Linked DNA regions of Nothobranchius furzeri. The protein of the gene in region 3 binds, or shares a complex with, the protein of the main gene of each other region. Links are inferred from orthologs where the notes say so. Each region holds a gene or a part of one and is shown on either strand. Other genes may lie near its edges.

Evidence for each region.
Region 1: exosc8 (region 3) and exosc2 share a complex: the UniProt entries of both Homo sapiens proteins name them as parts of the RNA exosome core complex. The link is inferred for Nothobranchius furzeri from reciprocal best matches to the Homo sapiens genes EXOSC8 and EXOSC2.
Region 2: exosc8 (region 3) and exosc1 share a complex: the UniProt entries of both Homo sapiens proteins name them as parts of the RNA exosome core complex. The link is inferred for Nothobranchius furzeri from reciprocal best matches to the Homo sapiens genes EXOSC8 and EXOSC1.

The regions. Positions count from the first base shown.
Region 1 is NC_091746.1:53,646,892-53,650,645, reverse strand, and holds the start of exosc2 (exosome complex component RRP4), read right to left. Parts: upstream 2,715-3,754; 5' UTR 2,494-2,714; coding exon 2,372-2,493; intron 2,299-2,371; coding exon 2,197-2,298; intron 2,084-2,196; coding exon 2,038-2,083; intron 1,949-2,037; coding exon 1,859-1,948; intron 1,775-1,858; coding exon 1,709-1,774; intron 1,621-1,708; coding exon 1,552-1,620; intron 1,388-1,551; coding exon 1,211-1,387; intron 1-1,210. UniProt on the Homo sapiens protein: Non-catalytic component of the RNA exosome complex which has 3'->5' exoribonuclease activity and participates in a multitude of cellular RNA processing and degradation events.
Region 2 is NC_091746.1:82,296,357-82,300,110, reverse strand, and holds the start of exosc1 (exosome complex component CSL4), read left to right. Parts: upstream 1-1,456; 5' UTR 1,457-1,503; coding exon 1,504-1,561; intron 1,562-2,040; coding exon 2,041-2,156; intron 2,157-3,754. UniProt on the Homo sapiens protein: Non-catalytic component of the RNA exosome complex which has 3'->5' exoribonuclease activity and participates in a multitude of cellular RNA processing and degradation events.
Region 3 is NC_091750.1:62,637,051-62,640,804, forward strand, and holds exosc8 (exosome complex component RRP43), read left to right. Parts: upstream 1-1,504; 5' UTR 1,505-1,569; coding exon 1,570-1,586; intron 1,587-1,849; coding exon 1,850-1,886; intron 1,887-1,983; coding exon 1,984-2,047; intron 2,048-2,232; coding exon 2,233-2,306; intron 2,307-2,380; coding exon 2,381-2,426; intron 2,427-2,560; coding exon 2,561-2,666; intron 2,667-2,749; coding exon 2,750-2,795; intron 2,796-2,869; coding exon 2,870-2,966; intron 2,967-3,046; coding exon 3,047-3,167; intron 3,168-3,255; coding exon 3,256-3,362; intron 3,363-3,484; coding exon 3,485-3,603; 3' UTR 3,604-3,704; downstream 3,705-3,754. UniProt on the Homo sapiens protein: Non-catalytic component of the RNA exosome complex which has 3'->5' exoribonuclease activity and participates in a multitude of cellular RNA processing and degradation events.

The DNA.
Region 1 (3,754 bases), on a different chromosome or scaffold from region 3:
AACTAGCTTACCAACGTTAGCTTACGTTCTCTCTGCAGCTGTTCACCGATGTAAACATGTTGCTGACTTTGCCTAAATCCACCCCTCTGGATTTATAACTTTATGTTGTAAACAGCGTTTCACTTCACACCAAAGCAGATTTTTAAAAAGTCTGGATCTCTACCAGCTCCTGTTGCTGGTGGTGTTACCGGGTTCAGCTGCTGCTCTCACATCGGAATGAGATCTCTGAACGCTGAAGCTCATATAAATAAATAAATAACGTAATTTTAACACATGTAATCATACATCGGAGCTTTAATATTGTTAATAATTGTCTCGCTTTATACAACAGTGGACGGCGCGCGTCATCCGGGGTGAAATACCCATCCATCAGGATTATCAATAACTTGTATGAACACATCACCTTTATCCCTGTCCCTGTCTTCCTCGTGAAATAAATGAACATTAATCTTACCCGGTAAAAACATGTTCGCTGCAAATCTGAGGGCTACTTCGCTTAATTGATCACTGCAGTTTGTCTCCGTCCTCAGTCTCCCATCAAATTTATTAAAAAGAAAAAACGAGTTGAGTTTATGTCCTTGTCTCTTAGTGCAGCCGACCATGCAGCAGGCTAAAACCATTTTACTGTCAAATCAACTAAATAAAAGCGATAAAAGGCTACAAACTGGCTTGTTTTGACCAGCTTCACTGGGGATTCTACAGGTGTAAATGGTATTTTTGCCGTCCGTCATGGCGAAGGGGGCGGTCACATGAGTGGCGTGAGGTCACGTGCAAAGGGTCAATACCCAATACTTTAACAGTCTCAAGTTGCTTTTCTCTCTAAGGCTGCCCCGTTCCTCCAGGAGGAATTCTTAGAGCATTACATGTCTGGATGTGTTAAATAGATTATGTTTAATAAGTATTTCTTCACAAACAGAGGTGAGAAGTCAGGTCAGAGGGTCAAATTTTCATTCCTTAGGAAGCTTTTCCTTCTCTTGACATAAAAATACTTTGTGCCTTTAGGTAAATTCATGTAGTTTATCATTTATGATGTCTTAAAATACTAGATCATGTCTCACAAAACTGACCTTTAATAGACCCAGCAAGGTTTCTCAAACAAATCACTTATTATGTTGAACTGCTTTACTCACACTTTAACGCTCACACACATCTATCAAAATCAAGTCAATAAAGTTTATGAACAACTTCTCTTGACTGGTTCTGAATGTACCTCCAAACTGGTGTAGAAGCCCCCAGCTTCCTCATCCTGTTGTCCCAGCGTGGGATACAACCACACAAAGCCATTATTACCAAGGATTATAGATGCACCACATGGAAGATTGTGGAAATGTGTTTTCTGCCTCTTGATCAGAGAAGGAGAAATCTGGACCAGCACTCCTTGACCCAACTGACAGTCAAAAAGAATTGAAATAAGATTGAGATTAAAATTATTATTATTATTATTATTATTACTACAGATTATTTTCCCACAAAAGAAGCTTTTTATAATTAGGAACGTGTTAGTGTAAAAATTAGTGGGATTACTCAGTGTCACTGTGTGCTATAACTTACTTTTCCATATTTTAAACTACGAGTGTGAAGTGAGAGTGCTCCATCTGAAAAAACAGACTGCACTTCTGCCTAAAAAACAAACAAAAGTTCAAACCCAGTCAGGAATAAAAAAAAACTGGTAGTAAAAGTTGGTCATTTTGAATCAAATGTGTCTTACACTGATTAGATCGCCTTCCTGGATGTATTTTCTCATGGTGAGCTCGTCTTCTGCAGATCTTCGTCTCTAAAAGGCAAAATCAATCAGTTTAGCAAAAGTAAAAACAAAAATCTCAACCAAAACATATGAAGCTACGTTCTACTATCTCACCAGTTCTCCTCCAGGCAGATTGACAGATGACAATAAGAGGACCGAATCTAGTCTGGAGTTGGTATCCACCTTCCACCGCTTCTGTTGAACCTGAATTTGAAAACATCCCCATTCTGAAAACTCTTGATGAAAGTACTACATCTTTTTACTGTTTTTAGATCACAAAAACATTTGTTCACCTCCGTGATCCTGCCAACAACCACATCTCCAACCTCACCGTTAAATCTGTAATTCACATCAGAGTTATAGGACTGCATTTAGATAAAAGCAGGACACATAGCAAGTGAAAGCAGTGCAGAGGTAAATGATGTTTCATGGCTCTTAAATTAATGGCGTACCTGGTCTTTAGAGGTCTGACGCAGATTAGTTTGTCAACTCTTTGCACCTTTCCTGCAACTGAAGCCGTTAGTTTATCATCGTCGACATATGTTCCATGACCCCTGTGAGAAAACGAGGTAAAGTAATGGTTACCAGGCCTTTACTCCCAGGCTTCACAGTAGAACCAGTACCCACCTCATGAAACCTGTGTCTGAGGTGATAACATCGCCGGGAACTACCAAATCTTTCCGGTATACAGCGGGAGCCGACAAAGTCATTGTTTTTTTAACAGTCGGTAATCTCATGTCCACTGCCATGCTTGTTTCTTCTTACTTTTCCCGCTCGCGACAGAGTCCACAGGGCTTTACTTCTATGTGCACACTTAGAATAGTGAAGAAAATTTAAGAAAGGGTTTCCTCCCCAAAGTTAACAGTCGTTTAAAAACCAACTGGCTCAACAAGCTACAAAAATGGACAACAATATAACTATAACAGACCATGCATGTCTGTGATGCTAGGTAGCACACTCTCCTACTTCTGCTCTGTTACGTAGTTTGTGAGACCAGCTAACGCCCCCTACTGGTACGGAGTAAAAGCGACAGAAATTGATGTTTTGTTACTGCTCTCTTTCCGCCAAATAAAGATCAATGCAGTACTACTGACTCAGCCAGGTTCAGATTAACAAACAACTCAATAATAGCTAAATCATTCCACTTCTGTGATCATAAGATTCATCACAGTTTTACTGGTGGAATCTTATAAGCCCGCTTTAATTGTTAATTCAGGGCTTTTATTTCTTCTTTATCAATTTCACTTCCCTCAGTTTTTGTTTACTTTGCAGAATTTGTGATTTTATTAGGCAAGGTAAAAACATATTCCAGAAAAATATACAAAAACAGGATAATTAGGGTTGGACTTTTTAAATAAATTCAAATTTGTTTTCATGAAAGTTTGTACAAAAATATATAGCCTAGAAAACCATCAGATTGCACCCAGCCTTTACTTTGATTCATCCCCTGGAGCATGCATAGGTCAGACAACAGTGATGAGGAGGATTTCACACTTGGATGCAGACTCCTGGGGGTTGTTTCCTTTCTAGAGCTTTCTTAAGTTAGCTCAACAATACAGCCAAACATCAATTTTTTTCTTTTCATGTTTACAGATGTATGCCATTTAAATTAATACATTCTCAGCTCAATCCAGTATTTTTTCAACTGTAATTAATGTTTTGATGAGTTCTTAAAATATCTATAATCCCAATGCCATCCCTATAAGTTTATTGTGGACTCTTAAAAATACATATATATAGTATAATGCAAGATTATTTTTGCTTCAGCAATTGACGGTCTAGATTCTAGGCTAGGTCAGAATCTTTTTTATTGTTTTGCTCTCAAATTAATTTTTTCAAACACCCCAACCCAGACTTATCTCTGCAAATAGCTTTGTTTTATGGAACTCAAAAGTATTCAAAATTCAATAAATAAATAAGACATTATGAAATAAATGTCTACATGAAGAAATACTAGACAATCATGTAATCTGACAATGAAATGATGAAATAACAGAATGTTATGTAAAA
Region 2 (3,754 bases), on a different chromosome or scaffold from region 3:
TAGAGGAAACACTACGTTTGTAGAGGAGGATAGCTCACTACTGGTTTAATGTGAAATTTACATCAAACAACAAAAAATTTGCAGTGCTGATAAAAGCACTTCTGTTTTTTTTTCCCTGAATACAATTTACAAGGCATTCAGTCCTACTAGAGACTACTGCAGATGTACTGATTCAATGAGTGTTCAACACCTTTTAAATGTCCTTATGCGTGTGAGGGTTGTTTCTGGGCGCTCTTGGTTCCCAAAGAAATTTATATTGCCAAACTTTATTCACAGGAGCAAAATTTTAAAAGTTTCCCTTATTTCTTTGATTCCACCCATCCATTTTCATCTGCTTATCGAGGGTCGGGTCGTGGGGGCAGCAGCCTAAGCAGGGAGGCCCAGACTTCCCTCTCCCCAGCCGCTTGGGTCAGCTCCTCCGGGGGAATACAAAGGTGTTCCCTGGTCAGCTGAGAGACACAGTCCCTCCAGTGGGTCTTCCTTTAGGTCTTCTTCTGGTTGGACGTGCCCAGAAAACCTCACCAGGGGGGCGTCCTAACTAGATGCCCGAGCCACCTCAACTGGCTCCTCTTGATGTGGAGGAGCAGCGTGTCTACTCCAAACCCCTCCTGGATGACCAAGCCTATCTTTAAGGGAGAGCCCAGCCACCCTGCAGAGAAAAATTTCGGCTGCTTGCATCCGCAATCTCATTCTTTCAGTCTCTACCCAAAGGTCGTGACCATAGGTGTGAGTTGGAACGTAGATCAACCAGGAAATCAACAGATCGGTACAACACCCACGTTACTGCAGACGCAGCACCAATCCGCCTGTCGATCTTGTGCCCCATCTTCTCCTCACGTGTGAACAAGACCCCGAGATACATTAACTCCTCCACTTGGGGCAGAACCTCATCCCTGACCTGGACAAGTTCTTCTACCATTTTCCGACTCAAGACCATGGTGTCGGATTTAGAGGAGCTGATTCTCATCCCGACTCCTTCACACTGTGCTGTGAACCGCTCCAGTGAGAGCTGGAGATTACGTTCTGATGAAGCCAACAACAGGACAACGTCATCTGCAAAAGCAAAGACTTTCTTAGCTTTTAAAAATAATTTCATATTTATGTTAAATCGTTAACAGTTATGAAAGAACAAAAGCTCAGAAACTATATTCCTTTTCAATAAATATTATCTTGTCAGCAAGATAAATAACTGATAAACCTTTAGTTTTTTTACCCTTTATGTGATTCTCTTGATGTTTGTGGTCTTTATTTGATACTTCAGCCATGTTTGTTTGTTCACACACTTAAATGAATGTTCTTTATATGTGCTTCATCTTTAATAAAGTAAAAACAAGTTTTCCCTTACAAACCAAAAACATAAAGGTTGGCGACACCCCGCGGAGAGTGTGAGTACAAATCGGAGCGCTTCGTTTTCTCGCACATGAGCACTGGAGCCTTCCTTCGCCCTTTTCCGGTCTCCACAGCCGGACCAATCAGAATCGACTCCAGACGACGTCCCAACCAATGAGCTCGCAAGCTACTCTTGTCGAAAACATGTCGCCCATGAAGTTGTGTGTTCCAGGTGAGTCCGCTGATTTAATGTTCCATACAAGGCACTGCGTAGATTTAGAACCGTGTTTTGGTCACGTACCAATTCCAGCTCGTGTAGACGTCGATGTGTCACTAAAGTATGCATTTAAACTTCAGTCAGAGGGCTTTAAAGTTGCCCCAACTGCTACACGCGTGGAATTAGCACATATTTATCATTCGTTCACACACCCAAAAGAAATCCGCTAACCAGCTTTAGTACTAAATTGTGTTTATGCTACATCAAAACAAAACGATCACTCACTAGACTATGCAGGATTAGCAGTTTGCCATGTTGATAAAACGAAATGAAAGGCAACTAAATCACAAACTCACATTAAAAATGAGAGGGTTTGACTAAAGTCACAAACAGTGGTTGTGCTCTTCAGGTGTGTTCATGTCTGTGATGTTAACACTGTTCGTTTGTTATTTTACTGTAGCGTTTTCTGACCCTTGTTGTCTGTTTGCACTCAGGTGACAAGCTTTGCAGTGAGGGAGACTGTAATCCAGGCGCAGGAGTATATCTGCGGCATGGCTACATTTACTCCTCACTCGCAGGCTTTGTGCTCAAGACAACCGAAGGCGAGAAGGTGAGGATCATAATGTAATACATATACTTAAAGAGCAAGTCACCCCAAATCAACTTTATTTTGTCTGATAAACTATATAAACGTGTATCTAATCGTGCTGCAGACCCGTGTTGTCAATAGTTTTGCACTTAAGTGCATTTTAGTTAAAATTTTAATTTTCTGCCTAAAACTGTCAGTGTTGTGCCATGGTCAGGTAAAAACTCTGCGCTGCATTTGAGTTTAAATCTGCCATCGGTATTGGCTAAAGCCTGATTCATGCTTCTCCGTCTGCGTCAGTGTGGAGACACGCAACGTCCTTGCGGGCCTGCCGGAGAGCTCCGCAAGGACGGACGGAGTCGAGCTCTCTTTTCTAAACATCCGTCAGTCGAGACGGACAACGCAAGCTTGTGATTGGTCAGGACGCCGCTGTTGTCTACAGCGCCGCCATTGCGCCCGCAAAAACATAAAGAGAGCCGAGGATAACAAGCGGCAGACACGGAGAAGCTTGAAGAATACCTCGCGAAAAACCTCTAAAATATGAACGTTTAATTCCCCGTGACTGGAGGAGTGAAAAGATGCGCAGCAAGCATTTTATTTGTGGACAGAAATGACAGGAAACCTGGGTTTAAGGTGGCGAGCGCATGAAGAAGACAATGAAAAAACATAATATAAACGCACTATCTTGGACCGATAAATGACAGGATACCACAGAACAGCGCTACGCCCTCTGTTGTCCTGCCGGGGAATTGCTTTGCAACACTCCAGGGGACGGAGAAGTATGAGAGCAAAACGCTTCCATCAATCCATGCGTGTCTGTCCCTTGCGGAGCTGACGGAGAAGCATGACCCAGGCTTAAGAGGTACCCTAGAACGTTAGTTGGTACCATATGATGTCACAATGCTGTGTGTGTGTGTGTTAGTGGCTCCGCCCTCTCGGTCTGCCAGGCAACAGCATTTGTTGCATTTTTCACACATGAAGTGGGAGTGGAGTACAACTCTGGTAGGGGGTGACTTGCTCTTTAAGTTTCAATGTTTAAAACTGATTCCAGGGAGCAAAATTGTGTCACATTTGATAAAATAAACAAAATAAATGCAGTTAGCCTCATTTCATCTGTAACTCGACTACTCTGCCTAAATTAGGTGAAATAAGAAAATCCAGCTAATGAATTACGACTTGGACAGAATGTGACTGAATTCATAATTTTAGGCAGTTTTTCTTGCACTCTGAAGCTTTTCTGTGTTTTTAAGCTTAATTCTTTAATGTTGAGATGAGCAGTGAAGCTCACACCCGTGATGATACAACTCTTTCTACATATTTTCTTAAACACTGCTTGGTCTCTATCCATTTGTACTAATTTATATAAATGAAATTCTTAATGTGATGGACAATGTTTAATTCCATTTAGGTGATTGTGGTATTTGGACTAGAGTTAATAGCTGTTGTATACAGTAGCTTTGTAGTGGACCAAAAATGATATAGTGCCTTCTAGGGTTCTACAACCCCTCCAAGGCATCACCCATGCACACACGCATTCACTTGCTGGTGGTAATGAGCTACAGTGTAGCTACAGCTTCCCAATGGTGCGCTGAAAAAGGTGAGGCCTTCCATACACTGGCACC
Region 3 (3,754 bases):
CATTACACACTTCCGTATTTTGTAACAAAACACCCCTGGAGAGGTTCACAGCTGATTAGATCTAGAAAGCTGCAACTGGTGTTAAGCACTGTTTTGTTTCATCCGACATCACGAGTTGCCAGTTCCTGCAGGGGAGGAGTGTGTATTGTGACAGTGTTTTTTTTTCTCAAAACCCAGCTTACTAACAGATTTGTTATAACAGCTTTGATAGAATAACAGAAGGTGAGTAATGCAAGAGAACTAAGTTATTTTCTACAGGGCTGCCAACTTGTGATGGTTTCCATGCACGAGGAGGTGTGTGAAAGGGGTCAGACACGTGTCTCACGCTCAATGGGAAGCTAAGTCACACCCATCTATTTCCGACCATGGGTCCCCAACAGGGCTGGACTGGGACAAAAAATCAGCCAGTTCGTTTTGAGCCGAGACCGGCCCACCAGCTAGTGAAGTTAAAAAGCAATGACGCCTATTTTTTACACCACCTCTCTAACCCTGGGCCTCGATATTCCATATCCATCATGTTTTACTTGTTTCCCTGCTCCAGCACAAAAACTGAGCTTATTTTGCTGCTTAACCCTTTGGTGCATAACGGTCACTACAGTGGACAGTTACTCAAAATTGTTATTTATTTATTTTTGCTATTAAGCACAGCTGTTGAAGACTTTATTGCATATGAGCCCTTCCATTTGGACTTCAGTAAGTCAAGCCACCATATTTCATGTTCAGAATGCACATTGTCCACTGAGATGGACATGTAATAAAGTATTTGTAAATTAACAAAATGGTACAAAAAATATTTGTTGAAATTTGTTTCATTCACACCTAAAGATGAATGAAAAAAATAGTTTAAAAAATCATGGTTGAAGATTTCATAATTCATGCATCAGAGGGTTAATGCAACAAAACATCAACAGACCAAGACAATCTTCAGATATCTAACTGCTCGTTTGAGGTTGAGTAAAGAAAACAGTAAAGCAGAAAATAATCAGAAAACCGAGTTGCCATGCATGCACTGCTCACACACACACACACACACACACACACACACACACACACACACACACACACACACACACACACACACACACACACACACACACACGCACGCACGCACGCACGCACACACACACACACACACACCAACATCAAAACACATGACTTGTTTAACAGTTTAATTTTGTATTTTAAAAGAATGATCCAAACCATTCTAACTAAAAAGTTCAGTTTGAAGACATAAGAGAATCCACAATTTTGCTCTGGATTGTTCGGTTAGGAAAGAGGAGTTTGTAAGGAATATTTATTCACTGTCAATTGTTTAAACACTACAATATTGTTTGTTTAGCAAATTAATATATCGAGTTTTATTTAATCTTTATTAATTGTGACCGGTTATCAATTTGAAAGTTTTATTGACCTTACAACACCAACTCATTTTTGAAAAAGACGAATTTGTTGGCCAGTTTTTCGTTCATTTCCGAACTCCAGTCCAGTTGGTGGCGGTAATGCACACTTGTCGTTGGTAATCACAGTTTCGTCGCGGCCACCGTAGTTCACGTGGGTAATCAAAACATCATGGCGGCTGGTTTCAAGTAAGTCATTTTTAACATGTATTTTTCTTTATATTCAGACTTTGATTTTCATCAAATATATATCATCGATATATTTAATGTTCAGTGTTATATCTAAATTTAGTTTGCTTGTCAAAAAATACAGAAACAACATTTCTGTGACGTCAGTTGGGCTAGTGACGGGATAGTACACTTTATTTGTTAGATTTATCGGTCTGCTGTTTATTGCAGGATCGCACGTGTTTGTTACTAATTTGTCTTATTTAATTTCTTTAAACTTTCAGGACGGCGGAGCCTCTGGAGTATCACAGGAGCTTTTTGGTTCGTCAAATACATACAAACTATACCCAGTAGAAACCCATAAATGTTATTATTATTGTTATTAGTGTCATTGTAATTGCAAATGCTTCATTTGCAGAAAGAAAATTGTAGACCTGATGGGCGGGAGTTGTCTGAATTTAGAAGTACAACCTTAAACATTGGTAAGAAAATAAATTAAATGTTTCCTCCCTGTAATAAAACATAATTTTAGATATGATGTAAATAAAATAATATGTACTTCTAATACAAAATGAGTCGGCTCATATTTTTTCAACTCCAACATTTTCCAGTGCCTAAAGGGCTGATCACTGCCAGCTGTAACAGTTTTTACTTATTTTCTGTTCAGGGTCTATTTCCACTGCAGACGGCTCCGCTCTGGTAAAGCTGGGAAACACCACGATCATCTGTGGCATCAAAGCGGTACTGGTGCACAATGACTCAAACCGCTACTGCTAAGATTTCTTTAGGTGTTAAAGTCATGTGTTCATATGCAGGAGCTGACTAACCCTACTGTGGATGCACCTGGTAAAGGTTACATAGGTAAGTTCTGAACACATTTTACAGCCTCCTTGTTTCCATCAGGTTTTCATTGCTTAATTCTTTATCTCGTATTTTCTGTTTGATTCTGTATTTTATTATGACATCATCATCTGTCTATATATGTTTTAAAAAAGTGCCCAATGTAGACCTGCCACCCCTGTGTTCGTCCCGCTTCCGACCAGGCCCACCAGGGGAACAGGCCCAGGCTGCCAGCCAGTTCATCGCTGATATCATTGAGAGGTGTGTTAAGCCTTCAAACACCTTTAGTTTCCAGCTGTAGTGTTTCTGCCACTGCTTTGACTTAACCTTCATGTGTCGTGCAGCTCTGAGGTGATCAAGAAAGAAGACTTGTGCATTGGCCGAGGAAAGGTGATTTTAGACTCATGTGTGGACTTTATTTGTTGTAATATATTCAATCATAATTCTGCTAAATCTTGTTGCAGCTCTGCTGGGTCCTCTACTGTGACATCATGTGTCTCGACTATGACGGGAACATCCTAGATGCTTGTGTTGTCGCCCTTCTGGCTGCCCTGAAAACCAGTAAGTAGGGTTGAGACTTTACTGAAACGGTGCATGTAATAAATAAAATAAATCTATCTTTTAGTAATCTTTCCCTGCAGCACAACTCCCAGAAGTCACCATCAACAAAGAGACGTCCGCCCCGGAGGTGAATTTTGAAAAGAAACACAAACTTAACATTCACCGACATCCAGTCAGCGTCTCCTTTTGCATCTTTGATGAGTACGTTTGTTTGATTTCAATTCAATTTTTATTTTAGGTACAAGTGCCATTTTGTTCTTCTTTAAGCCTTTTTGGTTTTCCTGTGCAGCTCCATACTGATCGTAGACCCCACCGCCGAGGAGGAGAGCCTGTCGACGGCACGCCTCACTGTGGTGATGGATGAGGAAGATCAGCTGTGCTCCTTACATAAACCAGGTCAGAGATGGCACATCTGTGATCTTTAGATTTGTGGTGCTTCTGCCATGAAATAAAGCTTCAGATTATTTTGAGTATTTTGAGAAAACGGGGATAAAAGGCTCTGCAAACTTTGCCTCCAGGTGGAACGCCACTGTCGGGAGAGAAGCTGCAGGAGTGCATCAAAAGAGCAACGGCACGAAAGGGAGAGATCCACAAACTTATTGAGAAAGTCATAAAAAGCATGAAGACAGCTCAATAAATACACTCAGACAACATTTTTTATCTAAAAGTTGTATTTTCCACTGTCAATATATATTCTTTTTTAATAACAATAAAACTGCTGACAAAGACTTAAAAAAATTATCTTTTCAGTGTCCAGAAATGTCTCACGCACACTTAGCTGATGTCTT